Elephas maximus indicus: one gene and its partner. The main gene of each other region encodes a partner of the protein of the gene in region 2 in a complex. Links are inferred from orthologs where the notes say so. Each region holds a gene or a part of one and is shown on either strand. Other genes may lie near its edges. The genes, in order: IGSF5 and LNX1.

Region 1 (10,451 bases), on a different chromosome or scaffold from region 2:
TAGAAAATCTCATCAGATGACAAAATGATTGACAATCACGTAATACTGGGAATCGTGGCCTAGCCAAGTTGACACACATTTTTGGGGGACACAATCCACAACACTATCCATGCATTTTTTTTTCTTTTACTTTTTCCTTCTCCCCTGGGACAGGCCTATCCAAGGCACTCACTGGCACTGCTTAATCCCATTGGGCATTCATAGCTAATCACCAATACACTGAATGTACCAAGGACTGTCTGTAAAACCAGAGGCTCCTTCCCCATTACCCACTGTCATTGATTCCGGCTCATAGCGACCCTGTAGGACAGAGTACAACTGCCCCATAGAGTTTCCAAGGAGCGCCTGGAGGATTCGAACTGTCGACCCTTTGGTTAGCAGCCATAGCATTTAGCTACTACACCACCAAGGTTTCCAGAGGCTCCTTAGCCTCACAAAAGAAGGCCTCTATTCCAAGCATTCTTGCATACCAAGGATGTGTGGCTCCCAGGGACCTGGAGCTGGTTTTTCAGGTGACAGCTTTGGCACACGTCACCTCCAAAATGTACAGTGCCCTTTCCTACTAAAGACCCCATGGTGGGGTTTCCAAATGCATTGACACACTCATTCAGGGTTCTGGTCTCCTTTCTTCTCCACAGGCAACAACCAACCATAAACAGACATGTTGTTGTTGGGTGCCCTCAAGTCAATTTTTTCCTCACAGCAGCCCTATAGGACAGAGTAGAACTGCCCCCCTAGGGTTTTCAAGGCTGTAATCTACGGGAGCAGATTATCAGGTCTTTTCTCCCAAGAAGCCACTAGCTGGCTTCAAATTGCCAACCTTTCTGTTAGCAGCCAAGTGCTTAAGCGTTGCATAACCTGGGCTCCTATAAGCAGACATACAAGAATTGAAATAGCCATGGACAAATAACCACCACACCTCGGCCTCCAAAATACACCTCATCTAAGTTGTTGAAGAAAACTGAGTGTCAGTGTGATGGAGAGCGGAGACGCTCAGGCCGGTGACCACATTTTCCACTCAAGCACATTACTGGATATTTACAGCTTATGAGAGAAACGTCAGGCTTCCCACTTCTTGGTTTCTCTGTTTCCTTTGGAGAGCACAATTCAACCTTTGATCAAAGTGTTCAGCTGCTAATGGAAAGGTGGACAGTTCACGCCCACCAGCCAATCCATGGGAGAAGGATGTGGCAGTCTGCCTGCATAAAGATTACAGCACTGGAAAGCCTATGAGGCAGTTTTGTTCTGTCCTATCAGGTCGCTCTGTGTTGGAATCGACTCGACAACAACTGCTTTGGTTTTGGTTTGGACTAAACTCTAATTGCTCACATGCATAATAAGATTCAGCACTTCTGTGCTACGGCACCATTGCATGGTGGCACCAAGTCTCATGGGATAATCTGAAACAGATGCAGCAAGCCCCTAAAAGTGTGCTCCAGCAGCATGTTGTACAGCAGCTGTACACAAGTGAAATGAAATCACAGCTTTTCTGAGGTGTAATTACGACCCCGAGTAAATAAATCATTTACTAAATCTCGAGGTTCAGTTAACACAACTTTACCAATAAATCACTCTGCCAGTCAGTCATCCGGAACACTTGGCTAAGGCAGAGGACCGGGGAGAAGTCAAGCCACCTAGTTATACAAGGCTGTTCTACATCTTACAGAAAGCAATAAATTGAAAACGTATCACTGAAACAGATTAAGGTTGCTTAGGAGATACTTCTAGTCACTGATAAGAGTGACTCACAATTGGAAGCACTCAAGACTAAGAGCAGATGACTAAACTTACTAAACGCCCCCTTCTGCCAACATCCTCACACGAGATTCATGTGTACTGAGTCTCTGCGTGAAAGAACGATTCTGTTTCTAAAGAGTCCAAAAGCTTTAAAAATCAGAACCACTGGGCAGTGCAAGAACAGAACACGCTGAGAGCCACGAGAACCCAGCTGTAAGATGACTAACCAGTTGCCATGGAGACGATTCCAACTCATGGCAACCCCACGCATGTCAGAGAAGAATTGTGCCCCAGAGGGTTTTCAATGGCTGAGTTTTGGGACACAGATCACCAGGCCTTTCTTCTGAGGCACCTCTGGGTGGACTTGAACCTCCAGCCTTTCAGTTAGCAACAAGTGTATTTATTAATCATTTGCCCCACCTAGGGACTCCAGGAGATTACTACCAATGTAGGGTTGGTGTTAAAAGGGTGTGCACAGGAAGGACACTGTCTCAAAGCTGACTTCAAGTTTAAATTACAATCAGACAAGTCCCTTTAATTAAACGAGGGCCTAGGCCAGGTTTGTGTCAGTTAATATCTCTGTAGAGAAGTTTTTCTGGGACCCAAGATTTAATTTCTCATTCATTTCATTATGGAAGACTTGAATTACCTAATTTTAGTTGAAAAACTGCAAAGTCATCTTAAAGTCTTAAGTGTTATTAAATTATATTGAATAGACAGGATTTAACCCCCAACCACTGAAAAGGTGGATATTAACACTCAGAAGATATGTGGGGACCCACCCAGTTAATCATATCATTTGTCAAATCTGATAATCTCAGTTAACTAACCTTTATTTCTAGGTTGTTGAAAGTAGTTTAAGAAGCCTTGGTGGTTCGGTGTTTAAAGTGCTCGGCTGCAAACCGAAAGGTTGGCATTTCAAACCCACCAGCTGCTCCATGGAAGAAAGATGTGGCAGTCTGCTTCCGTAAAGATTTACAGCCTTGGAAACCCTGTGGGGCAGTTGTGGTCTGTCTACAGGGTCACTGTGAGTCTGAATCGACTCGACAGCAGTGGGTTTGGCTTTTTTTTCGTTTTGAATAGTTTGATATTCGCCAAAGGTGCCTTCTTAGGCAGCTGCACAAGTCCAAGCCTAAAGAGAACAGAGGCCAAGTTGTGTCTCAAGGCCTGGCCTGGTGGGAAGAGCTACAACAAACACCACGCAAGGGACTCTCTCAAAAGTACTACGCCTAAATAAAAAGGCACTAACATCTCTCCTACAAACTCAAAGACTCCAACTCTGAGCCTCCCACCCCCGACATTCCAAGCATTGGGCCTACCTTGGCGTTGCCTGACAGCTTGTGAGCAGTCCTAGAACTTCCATAGATTTCCCTTCAATTCTACTTTCCATAAAGACTTCTCATCGAGGAGTTAAAAAACAGCACTGACAAGTGTGTCCAATGAGCAACACAGGTCTTAGTAATTTTCCTGCCTCTGAATACTGACCCCGAAAATTCCAGCACAGCCTTGGCTTGAAACGTCTCCCTGAAAACAGCTCACGGTGTAACTGAGGCTGGCTCTATTAGAAATCTCCCCAAATTTCTAAACTCAGAGCAGCCCACTCTTTTAATATTTAACTTTGTAGAAGCTGAGAAAGAAATACCGATGCTCTCCGTGGGAAACCCAGCAGAAGGCCTCCTCAGGGCTCAAGCGTCCCCGTCAGGAGAGCTAATTAATCAGTGGGAGGAGGCCCAGCTACACTGCAGATAAACCCACCAGACAAGTCCACCTATCAGGAGAGGAACTAGCAAGTCATTCTTACCTCGGGCACTTGATCTTCTCATCAGGACTTCAGCGGACACTCCGTTTCCGAAAGCCTTCTTGGTCTGTGTCCACTATCCACACACTCAAGAACAAATTCCTTCTGGCCCTTAAAGAGTCCTCCCAGTCCCTCTTCACCGGCTTACAGGAAGTGCCTTATGAAATTGTTCTGCCACGTCACTGGCCGGGTTATAAACAGAGGTGCCAATAGGTTCCACACTCCAGGATGGTATGAGTGCCCCAAAGGGACATATTTCCTCATTAATCATTAGCCAGTCCCAAACAGCTACCACAGGAAGTCCAAACCTGGGGCTGATAAGCCAAAGGCCTCAGTGCCAAGACTGTCCTCCACTCCACCCTCCACTTTCCGTTCCTCCCTCAAGCCTTTCGCAAGTGCCGGAGAGCCAGGCCCTTCTCCGTGGCCTGCCACGCTGGTTTTTTTCGTCCATGAGCTAGTAGGAAGCAGACAGGTCCTTTCTTGCCTGAAACAAGGGGACATGGTGGATGTCATTGGATGGCCTGACTGACCTTGAGCTTTCTCCTTACCTCCAGGACAGACTCAGGGGCTAATCAAGCTGGTTCCTTCTTTCTGGCAGGCACCTAAATATCCAGTAGAACACGTTCTTCTGTGAGGAAAAAAATCCTAAAAGTGAAGTCCTCTTGAATGTGAAGGGTAATTATCTGAGGAGCACTTACAAGAGAACTGTGGTCTTAAGTGGTTGTCTTCAGGCCTCTGACTCCGCACCCCCACCTCCTCAGAGGTGAACAAAGGAACTTGGCTTTTCAGAAAAAAAGAAGCATTGCCATGGAGTCAGTTCCAACTCGTGGCAACCCCATGTGTTACAGAGTGGAACTGCTCCATAGAGGTTTCTTTTTTTTTTGATTATTGATTGTTTTTTTTATTTTTAACGATTACTGAAATGAGCAAAATCACCGCATTAGAATACAGTGACTCTATTCCAGCCAAACTTATATTTTAGTATGGAAGAGGACCAGAACCAATGACAATCATCTTCAGATATTGAAGATTCACAGAAATGGAAGTTCTTCACATATATGACCTAAAAATCTTCACAATAGATAACAAGACATCTTACAGGAAGAAAAACCACGTGTGAATTATAATGAAGACCTCTGAGGTGAAAAATAACTGCCTATATGCATAACCAGATCTTAGCTAGCTGTGGGTCCTGAGAAGACATTATAATAAGAAAATATATACCCAGGAAGCTTTTGCTAGCTACTGTATCAATTATTGTAACAATCCTTCCTCACTACCCAAATCATTATTTCTATCCCCTTTCTTTTTTTTTTTCTATTGTGCTTCAAGTGAAAGTTTACAAATCAAGTCAGTCTCTCATACAAAAATTTGTATACACCTTGCTATGTCCACAGAGGTTTCTTGACTGCAATCTTTATAGAAGCAGATCATCAGATCTTTGTTCTGCGGGACCGCTGGGTGGATTTGAACCACCAACCTTTAGGTCAGTAGATGAGCACAAACTGTTTGCGCCACCCAGGGACTTAACTCTGGGACTATCTCAGGAAAGATCACTGCCCTAAGTCATGACTCAAAGCACCACATTGTCTGCTTTTATAACAGTTCTTGGCCCTTTTGGAATATCTGCCTTATCTCCTCATTGCATTTAATCTTCTCAGAGGCCTCAGTCAATGGCATCTGCACATAACAGGTACCAGCAGAAGGTGTAGATCATGTATTTGGACTAGACCCTGAGACAGATAAATTGCTGCTCCTTCCAGTAGTGGACATTGATCTCATTTGTAGCCTCGTTAGCCACCAGAAGCCACCTCATCAGGATCGCTTCTCTTTCCTTCACAATTCAGTGAGCCCAGAATTTATTTCACCGAATGGCTATTTTCCTTTCTCCTAGTAGAGCTCAGACCATAGCCACACTATTAAAAAAACAAGTCATATTGACACACTTCTTCCCTTTGTCAGCTAAGATAGTACTTTCTAGCCCTTCCGCCACAGAAAATAGGCATATCTGAAAATCTGTATTTTAACTGACATGTCACTAATATCAAATTACAAATAGTTTTATCTGTCAGCTCTTTAGTGGTTAAGTGAAAGCTATTTTTAACCCAAATAATTTTTATTTGGGGCTTGAGTTTCTTTCCTCCACTTTGCATTTCCCTGTCTGTTGTTGTTAGGTGCTGTCAAGTTGTTCCAACTCACAGCAGTGCTATGCACAACAGATGAAACACTGCCTGGGCCTGCGTCATCCTCACAATTGTTGCAGTGTTTGAGCCCATTGTTGCAGCTACTATGTCACCCCATCTCGTCGAGGGTCTTCCTCTTTTCCACTGACCCTCTACTTTACCAAGCATGATGTCCTTTTTCAGGGACTGGCCCCTCCTGATAGCATGTTCAAAGTATGTGAGCCATAGCCTCGTCATTCCTGCTTCTAAGGAGCTTTCTGGTTGTACTTCTTCCAAGACAGATTTGTTCGTTCTCTTGGCAGTCCGTGTTATATTCAATATTCTTCTCCAACACCACAATTCAAAAGCGTCACTTTTTCTTCTGTTTTTTTTTTTTATTCATCTTCCAGCTTTCACATGCATAGGAGGTGATTGAAAACACCATGGCTCAAGCAGGTGTACCTTAGTCTTCAAGGTAACATCTTTGCTTTTTAACACTTTAAAGAGGTCTTTTGCAGCAGATTTGCCCACTGCAAGGCATCTTTTGATTTCTTGACTGCTGCTTCCATGGCTGTTGATTGTGGATCCAAGTAAAATGAAATCCTTGACAGCTTCAATTTTTTCCCCATTTATCATGATGTTGCTTATTGGTCCAGTTGTGAAGATTTTTGTTTTCTTTATGTTGAGGTGTAATCCATACTGAAGGCTGTGGTCTTTGATCTTTATCCGTAAGTGTTTCAAGTCCTCTTTACTTTCAGCAAGAAAGGTTGTGTTATCTGCGTAATACAGGTTTTTAATCAGTCTTCCTCCCATCCTGATGCCCCATGCTTCTTCATATAGTCCAGCTTCTCATATTATCTGCTCGGCATACAGATTGAATAGGTATGGTGGAAGGATACAACCCTGACGCACACCTGTCCTGACTTTAAATCACAATGTATCCCTCTGGTCTGTTTCAACAACTGCCTCTTGATCTATGTACAGGTTCCTCACAAGCACAGCTAAGTGTTCCAGAATTCCCATTCTTCACAATGTTATCCATAATTTGTTATGATCCACACAGTTGAATGCCCCTTCATAGCTCATAAAACACAGGTAAACCTCTTTCTGGTATTCTCTGCTTTCACCCAGGATCCATCTGACATCAGCAATGGTATTCCTGGTTCCGCGACCTCTTCTGAAACCGGCCTGAATTTCTGGCAGTTCCCTGTCGATATACTGCCACAGCTGCTTTTGAATGATCTTCAACAAAATTTTACTTGCTTGTGATATTAATGGTATTGTTCAATAATTTCCACATTCAGTGGGATCACTTTTCTTGGGAATAGGCATAAATATAGATCTCTTCTAGTAGGTTGGCTAGGTAGCTATCTTCCAAATTTCTTGGCATAGGCGAGGTGAGAACTTTCAGCACTGCATCCGTTTGTTGAAACATTGCAATTGATATTCCACCAGTTCCTGGAACTTTGTTTTCGCCAATACCTTCGGTGCAGCTTGGACTTCTTCCTTCAGTACCATTGGTTCCTGCTCGTATGGTGCCTCCTGAAATGGTTGGACATCAATTCTCTTTGGTAGAGTGACTCTGCGTATTCCTTCCATACGCAGCCCTAGAGGAAGGGTTTCTCTTTCTGTCAGCTCTGGAGGAAGGCCCTTGTCTCTTTGAGCTTCTGCTCCTGGGAGATCTTCATGTAGCTTGGCATCTCTCTTCCCCCATCTGTGCTTCTAGCTTGCATTTAATCTTTTTTACATCTCAAAAGAGATAGACTCAAGATACACTCTCATTAAATAACCTAGACAACCCATTCCCAAATGGTATTATAACCACAGGCATAGAGGTTAGGTTTTACAAAACATATTTTGGGGGGACATAATTCAATCCATAACAGAGGGGATGATCTGTGTTGACAAAGGTGTCCCAGACAAGCAGGCTACCAGCCCTGGACCTTGGGTTTCCAGTTCAGCCATCTGCCAAGTGACAAAAGACCTTGAAAGAACAAGCTGGTTTCCTCAGTAGGAAAAGAGTGGTGTTTGCTGCCGAATGAGAGGATTTTAAAATGTGCCAAACATTTTAAACACATTCATTAAATTTGTGGCCCTCTGTAGGTACCCTGGCCCTAAGCCAGGAGCCCCCCACTTAGTCGGTGGTCCATGTATCATACGGTTGAACAAAAAGCAAAAAATGGCCCTGAAGAGTGAACTTGGATTTCCAAAAACAAATGAAATGTGTTTTGAAAATGAATTCCAAAGCATAGAGAAGTAAAAATTGCAAAATGCCTTTGGAGCATTAGAATCTAATTTATTCTATTAGATCAATTAGAATTTTACTGAAGAATTCTCATTTTCAGCACATCAAAACAGCCTGACAGAAGGTGGGTGCGCATGGCTGAAGAGTAATCACACCACCCTTTTGTGGAAATGTTTGCGTGCACCCTGGCTGGGAGTTGCCGTGGAAACGAAACTCCCAGGTGTTTGTGTTGGCTTTCGTCACAGACTCTTTCTTGCTTCTGGAGATGCGAATTAAATTTACTTTGTCTACAGATGTGAACATCAACCAAGCAAATGTTTGCTGCACTTGCTGCTTTCTCCAACTGCTCCACCAGTCATTGAAAATGTTGCCTTCCAGAGGATTGTCGCTGATCTCTTTTCTCCCATGTCCCACTTGAGTTTATTCACCCAGTTTAAGTGCTATGACTGCTAACCAAAGGGTTGGCATTTCAAATCTGCCAGGCGCTCCTTGGAAACTCTATGGGGGCAGTTCTACTCTGTCCTATAGGATCACTATGAGTCGGAGTCGACTCGACGGCACTGTTTTTTTTTTTTTTTTTATATATGTCCTTCAAAAGCAAAGTTGAACGCCTGGGTTGTTTGGGGGTTTTTGAGAATCCCAAGGCTCCAGAGGATTGTTTTTAGACTTGTATTGCAAGTCTCAAACTGGCTTAGCATTACTTTCTCTTGCCCTCTTTGCTTGTTTGTTTTGAGTATTCTCCTGGGCAAGACCTACTTGCTGGTCATACTTAGCTGTCTGTGATCCACATTTATTGTAGTCTTGTCATTCCATAGACCAATTGGCAATCTCTAACTGCAAATGAAACTTTTCCTACATTCTCTCCCTCTTCTGGATTCAAGGACTACAATGTGTTCACCTTTACAGTCCCCACAAGGCTGGATACAGAGCCATGCACAAAGGGTGCCTGTAAACACCTGCACCATGCCCCCACATCTATTTCACCTATTCTTTGCGTATTAGTTTCCTAGCGCTGCCATAACAAAGGACCAAACTGAGTGGCTTATAAGAACAGAAATGTATTGTCTCATAGTTCTGAAGGCTGAGAGTATGAAAGCAGGGTGTTGGCTGCATTGATTCCTCCTGAGGGCCCTCAGGGATGACCTGTTCCATGCCTCTCTCCTAGCTTCTGGTGACAACTGGCGATCCTTGGCGTTCCTTGGCTTGTAGAGGCATCAGTCCAATCTCTGCTTCCATCTCCACATGACCATTTCCCCCCAGTATCTGTGCCTCTCCTCGTTTATAAGGAAGGTCAGGACTCAGATTCAGACCCACTCTACTCTAGTATAACCTCATTTAAACCTAACTGATAATATCTTTGAAGACCCTATTTCCAAACAAGGTCATGTTCAAAGGTACTGGGGATTAGGACTTCAACACATTTTTTTTGGAGACACAGTTCAAGCCATATCACTATGGCAAAAGAATCCCTAATTTTTTTTTTAATCCCTAATTTTTAACTGGGCAAAAATACAAACTGCATTTCCTTGCCTCCCTTGCAGCTAAGCATGGTCATGTGGCTAAATTTAGATCAGAGGGATGTGAGTGGGTCCCATCCCTTTATTAAGAGAAGTATGTTTTCTCTTTCCCTTTCTGCTCCTTCCTGCTGGCTAGAATGTAGAAGTGGTAATGAGCCACTGTGGACAACACCCTGAGAGGGCAGAGCAAGAAGATTAAAAAAGAATGAGCCCTCAAAGGCTTTCAAGAGCAAGGCTGCCACATAGCTGGGGGTTTTGTAGAGAAACAGAAACTTGTCTTGTTTAAGCCACTGTTACTTTTGTCTCTGTCACAGCAGCCACACCTACCTACTAACTGTGATGGTTAATCTTATGTGTCAATTTGTCTAGGCTGTACCCTAGGAAACCCTGGTGGCATAGTGGTTAAGTGCTACAGCTGCAAACCAAAAGGTCAGCAGTTCGAATAAACCAGGTGCTCCTTGGAAACTCTATGGGGCAGTTCTACTCTGTCCTTTAGGGTCGCTATGAGTCGGAATCAACTTAACGGCAGTGGATTTGGTTTGGTTTTCATTTATGGTATCCTGTTGCTTGGTCAAACACTAGTCTAGACTCTGTTAAACAAAGTAGTTACATGTGATTAAATCAGTTGGCCTTAAGTAAAGTCGATCATCCTCCACAATGTGGGTGGGCCTTGTTCAATCAGTTGAAGGTCTTAAGAGCAAAAATTGAGTTTTTCTAGGGTGTGTTCTGCCTCCAGACTATAAACAGACATTTGCCAAAATTTCAGCTCCTTTCACTCTCCCCATCATCTGACCTGTGGATTTTGGTACACAAACCTGCCAGAGTCTGCAGTCTGCCACCTTACCTAAGGATTTTGAACTTGCTGGCCCCCTACAACCTTGTGAGCCAGTTCCTTGAATTAAACCAATATCTACCTATCTACCTACCTATCTGCCTGCCTATCCGCCTGCCTGCCCGCCTGCCTACCCATCTACCCATCATCTATCTATCTA
Region 2 (10,445 bases):
TCCCACTTACTCTCCCCCTAATAAGTCAGCCTGCTCCCTCCTTCCAGTCTCTCCTTTCGTGACAATTTTGCCAGTTTCTAACCCTCTCTACCCTCCTATCTCCCCTCCAGACAGGAGATGCCAACACAGTCTCAAGTGTCCACCTAATACAAGTAGCTCACTCTTCATCAGCATCTCTCTCCAACCCATTGTCCAGTCCCTTCCATGTCTGATGAGTTGTCTTCGGGAGTGGTTCCTGTCCTGGGCCAACAGGTTTGGGGACCATGACTGCCGGGATTCCTCTAGTCTCAGTCAGACCGTTAAGTCTGGTCTTTTTATGAGAATTTGGGGTCTGCATCCCACTGTTCTCCTGCTCCCTCAGGGGTTCTCTGTTGTGCTCCCTGTCAGGGCAGTCATCGGTTGTGGCCGGGCACCATCTAGTTCTTCTGGTCTCAGGATGATGTAAGTCTCCGGTTGAACCACACTTTTTAAGGCCTGGTGTTTGTGACATCTACCCAATCCATATGGAGGAATATGCTCTACTCCCCAACAAATCAAAGACAGTGACAACATGCGCACACACATGCATGTCATGGTCACAGAGCAACGTTTGAGTTTCTCATCGATGTCACAATTGAGTGAATGTCCTCTTCTCCTCCCTCCCCTCATTCCCTTTCCTTTTCTTCCTAAGTACTTCAGACCGTAAGGCCATTTTGTGTGGCTGAGCATCCATGTGGGTGGTAGAGAAGATACAGTGGCTCAGGGCAGGTTGTCAGAGCTGAAGCAGGAGAGAAGGGCTTTCACGCAGGCGGGCTGCTGGCTCCCTGGCGTGGAATGTTAGAGATCTGGTAAGGTGAGTATGGTGTCCAAGCAGATAATGGGAAATGACCTTCATGGGGAGTCATAGTCTGAGTGGGGTGAGGAGGTTAGCCAACAGAAAGGCTGTCCAGCACAAGTGTTGGAGTCTGGATGGCAAAGGAAGGCATCCCTGTGAAAGGGCAGCCTGGCCTGGGCATTGGAACTCAAACAGGATGAGGGGGTGTCGGCATGGGGAAGACAGCTGTGGTAGTGACCACAGGTGGTTACAGTCAGGGGGTTGATCAAATAAGGAAATATATTGAGGATAATGGGAGCCAGGTATCTCACTGTCAGAGAAAAAGGGAGTTACAAATATGGAAAGGGACAAAACAAGAATGAACTCTGTGGTGTTGGATTGGAATTGGAAGCACCTGTGTGAATTTATGCTCTTCAATATGTAAAGATTAGTATAGAAATACACACACACACAAGTCTTAGCTCTGTGCACTGAGAGGGCTGAGAACAGCAATAATTCAGTTAGCAAAGAACACGTACTCAGAGGCCACTCTGGGTGGAGAAGGATTGGAGTGTCTGCCGTAGAAGCAGAATTGGGGTATAGCTCCTGCCTGTTGGTGCTCTGCCAAGGTGTGGGAGAGGGTTGGGCTCACCCCGCTCATTTAGTAAAGACTGGAAAGGTTCCTGAATAGCTAGATAGAGATAACACATGATATCTGATCATGCAATCCATTCGACTTATCTGACGATGGGCTCATCTGCCAGCACCATGAAGTGGAAACACCAAGGTCTCCTTTGTCATCTCAGAAAAGTCTGAGGGAATAACTAAGGACCAGCTCTTCAGTGTTTACCTGGAACATGGATTGTGCCAGTCCCCGTGTTCATTTGAGGCTTGGTCTAAAGTGGTGATAACAACTACTGCTTATTGGGCATCTTCTGTGGGCCAGAAACAGAGAGAGGTCTTTTAGTGTTCTCTTTCTAATTATCACGATGATTCTCCAACTTATGTTTTATAGAAACATCTCCATTTTATAGAAGAGAAAATGGAAGCTCAGAGAGATTTAGTAACTTGGTTAGGCTACGCTTCTAGGAGGGGATGACTCTGGGATTAGAAACCAAATCTGAATAGCTCTTTTCGCTGTTCTGTGCCGTCTCCCTTCACACAAGGCCTCTTGATCTGAAGCCTCTTCCACCTTGCCTCTCGCACCCAGCAGGCTTCCCAAACCCCCACCCCAACTCCCACAGATTAGTGGTTGCCTCCTGTGTGATCCCAGAGCACCTATCAACTGTACATAGTTGCATACAACTAATTTACAAAGCTTTGATTGAAGGCTGGGCCCCTCTTCTCTGTATTCACGGCATCTTGCCTGGACCCAGGATTAGAAGCAAATAAATTAATAAACCTCATTGCCGCTGAGTCAATTCTGACTCATATTGACCCTACAGGACAGAGTAGAACAGCCACATAGGGTTTCCAAGGAGCGGCTGGTGGATTCGAACTGCTGACCTTTTGATTAGTGGCTAACTCTTAGCCACTGCACCACTAGGGTAATAGTTTGCATTTATTGAGCACTTGCGAGCCTCTATAGGGTCACTATGAGTTGCAATCGACTCCACGGCAGTGGGGTTGGTTTTGGGTTTTTTTAAGGAGCCTCTGGCTGGTGCAAATAGTTAAGCACTTGACTACTAACCAAAAGGTTGGCAGTTTGGACCCACCCAGAGATGTCCCAGAAGAAAAGTCTAGCAATCTGCTCCTGAAAGGTCACAGCCTTGACAACCCTATGGAGCACAGTTCTACTCTGAAGCACATGGGGTCTTCATGAGTCGAAATTAACTCAATGGCAACTGGTTTTTAAAAATTTTTTTAGTATGTGCCAGCAAAGGCTTCACGTGCATTGTCTCATTTAAACCCTGAGACAACTTTAAGACAACTACCACTACCACCAGCTGCCATGTGCAGCTCCCCGCTTCGATGGCTCTGCACTCCTTGAGTGTATAGCTGGGACCACGGCCTGGCCCAGTGCTAGGCACAGGAAGCAGAGTTTATCAACATTCATCCAACTGGATTCAATTCCCGGGAATGGAAGTAAACAGGATACTGTGAAGATGTATTTCTGCATTTTTCAAGACAGTTCCAATTTTTAAAATTCCATCCTCTCATTGGACCATTTATCAGAATATGTGCCAATGAATGTAGCCTGATACTTGGCTAGGAACATACAGTCACCATTTTAGTGAAAAGAGGCAGGAGTTGACACATGTCGGTGGCTGAGTCACAATTTCTCTGGACCTAAATTTCTCCATGGGTAAAATGGGACTGATAATACCTGTTCCTATCATAGAAATGAAACAAAATGTGTATGTGCCTGCGTTTTGAATATTGATGAGAATAAAGTTGTATACAATCCAATTGCCATTCACAGGGTTGCTTACAGTTTTACTAACCTGTTTGGCAAATGGTTTCCATTCTTGAAAGTAAAGGAAGAAAGACGTTTCCGCGAAGACCAGTGCGGGGGGAAAAAATGAGCATGCGAAGAGCAAGTGTCCTGAGGCCTTTCTGGTATTTTGAAAAAAGATACAACTAGGTATTTCTGTCTACTGAACTCTCCTTAGGAGTTTCTCAATGATACAAATGGTTAATTACTTGACTACTAACCAAAAGTTTGGTAGTTCGAACCCACCCAGAGGCATTTTGGAAGATAGGCCTGGCGATCCGCTTCTGAAAGGTCACGGCCTTAAAAACCCTACTCTGCACACATGAGGTTGCCGTGAGTTGGAATGGACACAACGGCAACTAACAGCAAGGCTCTCCTCAGAGAATTTGTGTGTGTGTGTGTGCCCATCTGATAGAGGTGGGTGTGGGAGGCTGGCATAGTCAGGAGTCAAATTTTCTCAAATTGTATGAGATTCTACCTGGTGGAGAAACCAGGCAATCTTACCTTTGCTGCCTGTGGATCAGTTCCCAGGTGTAAGGGGCCTCAGGTGACAGTTCTTTTGGAAGCTGAGGTTTTCTGACTCCAGAGTAGTTCGGGAAAGCTTCTTTCTCTTTCCTGCACCTCGTCTTCCAGACATATGTGCAGACCACTCTGCCTTCGTATACTCAGAGGTTAATCAGCACATCCCCTGTCTTTTCTGCAAGGTTTGGGCAGAGCAGATCCATGATCCCGAGAGAGGGCAGCCTGTCAGGGCGCCACTTCGGTTGGAGAGCAGCCCCTCAGAGCAGCCGCTCGTTCGCATCAGTGACAAATCCATTTGGATGGGGCTAAGCCTCCCTCCCTCAAACTTCCTTCTGCTCTTGCCAAAATGCAGGACACTTTTGTTCACCTTTAGGGCTGCCAAGTCAGGCCTACCGCACCCCTGGATGTTGTTTTCCTGCAGGCAATGGGAACATGAGCTTGGAACCAGGGAAAGGAAATCAACAAGGAAACAAACACTGGCCACTGCACCTTCCGGCCATCGTTAGGTCTGGGACATCATCATGCTCAGAACCAGTCCCCAAATAAGCCAGGGCTTCCAACTGGACCTGTCTCAGAATCCTGCTTGTCTTTTTGTTTTTAAATGTGCAAAGAAAAGTGCATGAAATTCTATATCAGGCAAATGAAACAATCCTGAATTTTTCCAGTACCTTGCCAAAACTTCCAAAGATTTTCCATAAGCAGTACCACGCATCACTGGATGCTAGCTAATGTTCGTAGACAAAGAAAAGTGACGAGCAAGTTTAAGGGTGACACTATGAAAGATTTTTAATTCTAAAGATATAGGATTATTGTTTAAATAAGAATGTCTTCTGTTTACTTTTGACCATCATCACCTTTAGCAGCCACATCTTTGCTGACATTTATTGTGTTTACCGAATGCCTGGTCCTATGCTAATTTCCTGATGTGCATTATTTCATTTAATTCTCATCATAATCCTATAATCACCATTCCCACTTTATAAAGAAATTGAGTATTAGAGAGATTAAACTACTGCAAAGTGACTCAGCTACTTAAAATTTGTTAAATCACATTTCTGGACATGGGCTTTTGAAGTCTTGCTTTTCACACACACACAAACACAGCCAACTGAACCTGTTGCCATCAAGCCGATCTTGGCGCACGGCAACCCCATGTATTACAGAGTAGAACTGCTCCATAAGTGTTTTTTTGGCTGTAATCTTAACGGAATCAGGTTACCAGACCTTTCTTTTGTGGTACTGCTGGGTGGGTTAAAACCACCAACCTTTAAATTAGTAGTTGAGAGCAAACTTAGCCACCCATGACCTGCTTTTCCCACCAGGTAGGCTTATACACCTGTGTGGGAACAGCTTCAGGGATAGCCAAAGACATTGCTTCAATAAGCTACTAGCTGCGGGAAAAGAATTCTAAACAGCATCACTGGTCATCAGTTACATGGTCTCCCTCTGGTGATGTGCGTTGGTGTATTTCACATGTAGTGTGTATGCAGGAAAAGTATAATCCAGGTACCCAATGTCCTCTCTAGTCAAAGGTGGTGCTGCTAGCTGCTGTCTGTCTCAGGCCCTCCGCTGTGATTTTGACTTACAAACCAGGAAGTGCCCTGTAAATCTCTTGGCTCTGGGTGTGTTTTGGTCATGGCCGGGTCACTAGTTTGTCCTTTTGACAGTAGGCGCCTAGCAGTTACAAGCTTCTTTTAATCAACAATCCATGGAATGAGATTGAGTTCCTGGCCTGGAAACTTCTGCCTGGTGAGAAGAAACCAGCCCATGTGTTTTTAGTCTTCAGTCCTTAGGTCACACTGCAACCTTTTTGGGTTTTATTGTCTTCATCTTTACTTCGAATTGTTAGCAGTTAGCTCTCCTGTGCCATGGTGGTTACCCCGGGGCAGCTGGCAACTGGTCAAAGGAAAGTAAAACCGTTAATTAGGAGACAGAGAGATGGCTCCCAGCGGGGTCCAAGTTGCCTGTTTTCATAAACATAGGAGTTGCAACATCAGGGCAATTGCTCCCCTTATTTACCCTTGGATCTGGTTTGGTGGATCTTTGGGGTATTTTGCCCTAGGGCCACATAAACCTCTCAACTTGAGGTTGGTCAGCTTTTCATTCTTTTTAACAGAGACTATAGACTTATTTACTGGAGTTATAGTAATAAAGAGGAAGATGGGCTAGGGGCTGGGCATTTAGTTTGGATATCAATTCATTTTTCTTTTCCTGTGGTTTACATTTAAGCGTAGCATCTAGATATGTTTATAGACTTTGGTCTTGGAGTTCTTTGATGAGGAAGGCAATTTATAACAGTCAAATGGGCCTTTTCAACCTTATCACATGAAATGAAAAACCAAAATTTTGGAAAGGGGCTGACGTAATGGAAGCTTTCATGTTCAGCATCTGCTCCACAGCCTTCGATCAGGGAACAAAGATAGATGTGGGTACTGCGGGCAGCTCTGGGGTTTTCAATGCAGAAGGGTAAGGTAGGTAGATTTCACTTCTCTCTCTGCTCCTCCGAGCATGTGGATCAGTACCGACTGATTGGCGTCCAAGACTTGAGTCCATTCTAGGATTAACAGCAAACATATAAACGTCCCCCAAAATTTTTGTGCACGATCATGGAACCAGTGCAGCTGACTGTTCAAAACTGGAAACAGAGAGAAGTCACAGATGAAAACAGGATGTATTAATTTCACTTTACAAATGTGCCCTCTCCAAAGCCAGATCACTTACACCATGGTGACCTGGATCTGCTCAAACTCCACTGCTTTTGAGCATCATTTCCATTTGGTGTGGGATATTCTAGGTGAGTGACAGATCTCAACTCAGCAGAAAGGTCCAGATGTACTTAAACATTTTAATAATTATGGGAAAGCAAATTGTCTTCCCCTTGGAAGGAAAGATGGCCCGTTTTTAAAGTATCCTGGAAAGATAGCATGCCCAGTTATTTGCAGAGAAAATTGCCTTATTTTGGGTCTATTTTGAAGGAGGAATATTAAATCTGAGAAATGCTGAATTTTTTAGAATAGCCATTTCTATCTTTAAATGGTGATAAAGAAACTAGAACCTGAGTTAGCTTTCTCTCAGGTCCCTTTTCACTCTTGTGAGATTGATCAGGGTTAAAATGGATTTATCATAATAAGAGATAGAAAATAGTTTTTTTGAGCAGTAATGGACTGATTGCTTTCCTTTCTCTCCTCATAAGAATATAACTTATAGTTTATACAAACGGGTAGGGCAACAAGGGGAGGAGTCCAAAGCCCCACTCCAAGGTTTTAAATAACATCTTTACGCCAACAATCCCCATATTCCTATCTGTGGGTCAGATCTTCCAACCGCTTGCTCCACGACTCACAGCCATTTCATACGTCACACTTTCAAAGCCAGCTCTTCATCTTCTTCTCCTGCTCCTCCTCCTGTTCCTCCATCTCAGTAAATGGCTTTTTTATCCACCCAAGTGCTCCATCTGGAGTTGCCATTATGCGCCTTCTTTCTTAAACCCCACATCCAATCCATAAGTTGTTAGTTGCTGTTGAGTTGGCTCTGACTCGCGGTGACCCCCATATACAACAGAATAAAACGTTGCCCAGTCCTCGGCCATCTTCACCATCATTGGTATGCTTGAGTCTATTGTTGAGGCCACTGCGGTTTTGAATGCGTTTCATCCTAGGGGGCTCATCCTCCAGCACTATATCACACAGTGTTAAGGTGTGATTCATAGGGTTTTCATTGGCTAATTTTTGGATGCAATGCATCTTTTGCATTCAAAAGACATATTGCATTGGGCAAATCTGCTGCAAAAGACCTCATTAAAGCCTTAAAAAGCAAAGATATCTCCTTGAAGACTAAGGTTCACTTGACCCAAGCCGTGGTGTTTTCAGTTGCCTCATATACATGTGAAAGCTGGACGATGAATAAGGAAGACCAAAGAAGAATTGACGCCTTTGAATTACGGTGTCGGCAAAGGATACTGATTATACCATGAGCTGCCAAAAGAATGAATAAATCTGTCTTGGAAGAAGTACAGCCAGAATGCTCCTTAGAAGCAAGGATGGTGAGATTACATCTCACATACTTTGGACATGTTATCAGAGGGATCAGTCCCTGGAGAAGGACATCATGCTTGGTAAAGTAGAGGGTCATTGAAAAACAGGAAGGTCCTCAACGAGATGGATTGACACAGTGGCTGCAACAATGGGCTCAAGCATAGCAACAATTGTGAGGATGGCGCAGGACCAGGCAGTGTTTTGTTCTGTTGAACATGGGATCACTATGAGTCGGAAGTGACTTGATGGCAACTAACAACAACAACAATTTTTGGAAGTAGATCACCAGGCCTTTCTCCCTAGCCTGTCTTGGTCTGGAAACTCCACTGAAAGCTACACTCCATGGGTATTTGACATACTCATGGCGGTGTAGCTTCCAGCATCACAGCAACACTTAAGCCACCGCAGTACGACAAACTGACAGACAGGTGGTGGGATCCATAAGTACATCCTGTCAATTCCACCTCAAAAATTTACATCAGCTTCAACCACTGCCCTCTGTTTCCATTATCACAGGGGTCCAACTGACCGTCCATCATCTCTCACCTGGGTTACTGTAGGCAATCCTAACTATCCTGCCTGCTTCCCTTCTTGCCCCCAGTCCCTCTACCAAATCTATGTTCCACACCACAGCCAGGTTAGATTTTTTTAAAGGTAACCCCGATTGTGTCATTAAAAAAAAAAAAACCAAACCCAGTGCAGTCAAGTCGATTCCGACTCATAGTGACCCTATAGGACAGAGTAGAACTGCCCCATAGAGTTTCCAAGGAGTACCTGGTGGATTTGAACTGCCAACCCTTTGATTAGCAGCCATAGCTCTTAACCACTACGCCACCAGGGTTTCTGACTGTGTCATTAGCCTATATAAAAGCCTCACGTCTTTCTATCGCACTCAGGATAAAATACAACATAGCCCCACTAAGTGTGGAATATTTGGTTCCTGTTTACCTCTCCAACATTATCTCAGCTATGCTCCCCCTCCTTCAGTACACTTCAGCCACACTAGCTTGCTCTCAGTTCAAGAACCCTCCAAGCTTTTCTCCATCTCACAGCCTTTGCTCTTCCTGGACTGACTTACACACACACACACACACACACACACACTGTCTCTGCTTCTTTTTCATTTTTCAGATCTCAGCTCAAATGTCATTTCCTAGAGACACTCCCCACTCACCAACTTTTCCTTTGCAGCACTTAATAAAACTAACCAATTGTCGTTGAGGTGATTCCAACTCAGGGCAGTCCACGTGTGTCAGTACAGAGCTGCATTCTACAGAGTTTTCAAATGGCTGCTTTTTCAGAAGTAAATCACCAGGACTTTTTTTCCAAGGCATCTCTGGATGGATTCGAACCAACAACCTGTTGATCAGTAGTCCTTTGGGCCACCCAGGGACTCTGTAGCTCTTGTTACAATTTGTAAATATAATTTTTATTTGCCTATTCATTTAATATACGGTTTACCCACCCATACCCACTACCCCCAACCCCAGCTAGGTTTCCTTCCATAAGGGCAGGAGCTATGTTTATTTTGTTCACAACTATATGTCTAGAACCTGGTACATAAAAATAGGTTCCACATTTTTAAATACAACACTTAATGAAGGAATGAGTAATTGAACGGGAAAATCTTTTTTCAATGAAGATCACTTAGTTTCTTAAATAGCTGTTGAGAGGTACTAACTTGTTCTTATTCTGATACAGAGATATAATTTCCCCTGTGCAGATGTTGAGAATTAGCAAATAATTGTGTTCTTGGAGAATCTACCCTGAGTCGTCCCTTCCAAGGAAGCACTGTCTATGGCTTTCTATTGCCTCTGGGAGTGCTGTTCCACAGCCCAGGGAAGGGGTGGGGGAGAGCTGGGGGTGGGAGTGGTGTGGATGAAGGACTTATGTGTTTCTGGCTTCGCAAGTTAGATTTTGTAATTCATTCCTCATGAAAACAACAGGGCAGAGTGGAAATTGTACTGTCATAAAGACTTTTGGAGGCCAGCTTTGGGAAACTAAACACCATTTTAGATTTAGAACATCAGTTTATGGGGAAAAATGTGTTCCAGATTCAAACAACCAGCACACACACACACACACACATGCACACATCCTCTTGAAACAAAGGAGTTTGCCTGTTTTGTGTTTTATACGAATTTGCAAAATTATGGTGACTCATCACCAGCTACACCCTCCCTGAACCCTCATCTTAATCTGGGTCTTGGTTAACTAGAGTTGAACAATATTGGGAATGCCTATGAGATGATTTATTCACACAGGGATTGTGTTTATTTGAGTTGAGGCAGAGCCAGGAAATACTTATTTTCCTGTCCATATTAAGGAAGGGACTTCCGATTCGTTTCTCAAGTTTCCCAAGAAGGTGCAGTATCAAACCATGCTTCTGGCTTCCTCCAAGATCCTGACTTGCTCCTCCCAACAGTAGGAGAAATGACCAATCTGATTGGTGAGACCAGGAGACCCTGACCAATCTGATTGATGAGACATGGAGAGCACATCCTTCCCTGGCCTCCTGTAGGTGTGGGACTAGACTGCTGCATTGCGAAGTGAAGGCCTCCTTCAGTCTTTCTCTCGACTTGGAGGGTGGGTACGGAGTACTTATGCAGCCTCTGGTTTCTGTTTTAGGCGAGCCATGTGGCGTCTCCAGGCCAGCTGAGAT

What was found.
Region 1: the proteins of LNX1 (region 2) and IGSF5 are in contact, whole or in part, in a crystal structure (PDB 3VQG), measured with the Mus musculus proteins. The link is inferred for Elephas maximus indicus from reciprocal best matches to the Homo sapiens genes LNX1 and IGSF5. Residues at the interface, in NP_001153049.1 of Mus musculus: Gln396, Leu397, Gly398, Ile399, Lys400, Leu401, Val402, Phe413, Leu416, Pro446, Ala449, Ala450, Ile453; in NP_001171358.1 of Mus musculus: Val367, Thr368, Leu369, Val370.

The regions. Positions count from the first base shown.
Region 1 is NC_064820.1:222,593,417-222,603,867, reverse strand, and holds the start of IGSF5 (immunoglobulin superfamily member 5), read right to left. Parts: upstream 4,022-10,451; 5' UTR 3,539-4,021; intron 3,262-3,538; exon of another isoform or gene 3,057-3,261; intron 1-3,056. UniProt on the Homo sapiens protein: Provides, together with MAGI1, an adhesion machinery at tight junctions, which may regulate the permeability of kidney glomerulus and small intestinal epithelial cells. Mediates calcium-independent homophilic cell adhesion.
Region 2 is NC_064823.1:107,992,604-108,003,048, reverse strand, and holds the start of LNX1 (E3 ubiquitin-protein ligase LNX), read right to left. Parts: upstream 4,057-10,445; 5' UTR 3,732-4,056; intron 1-3,731.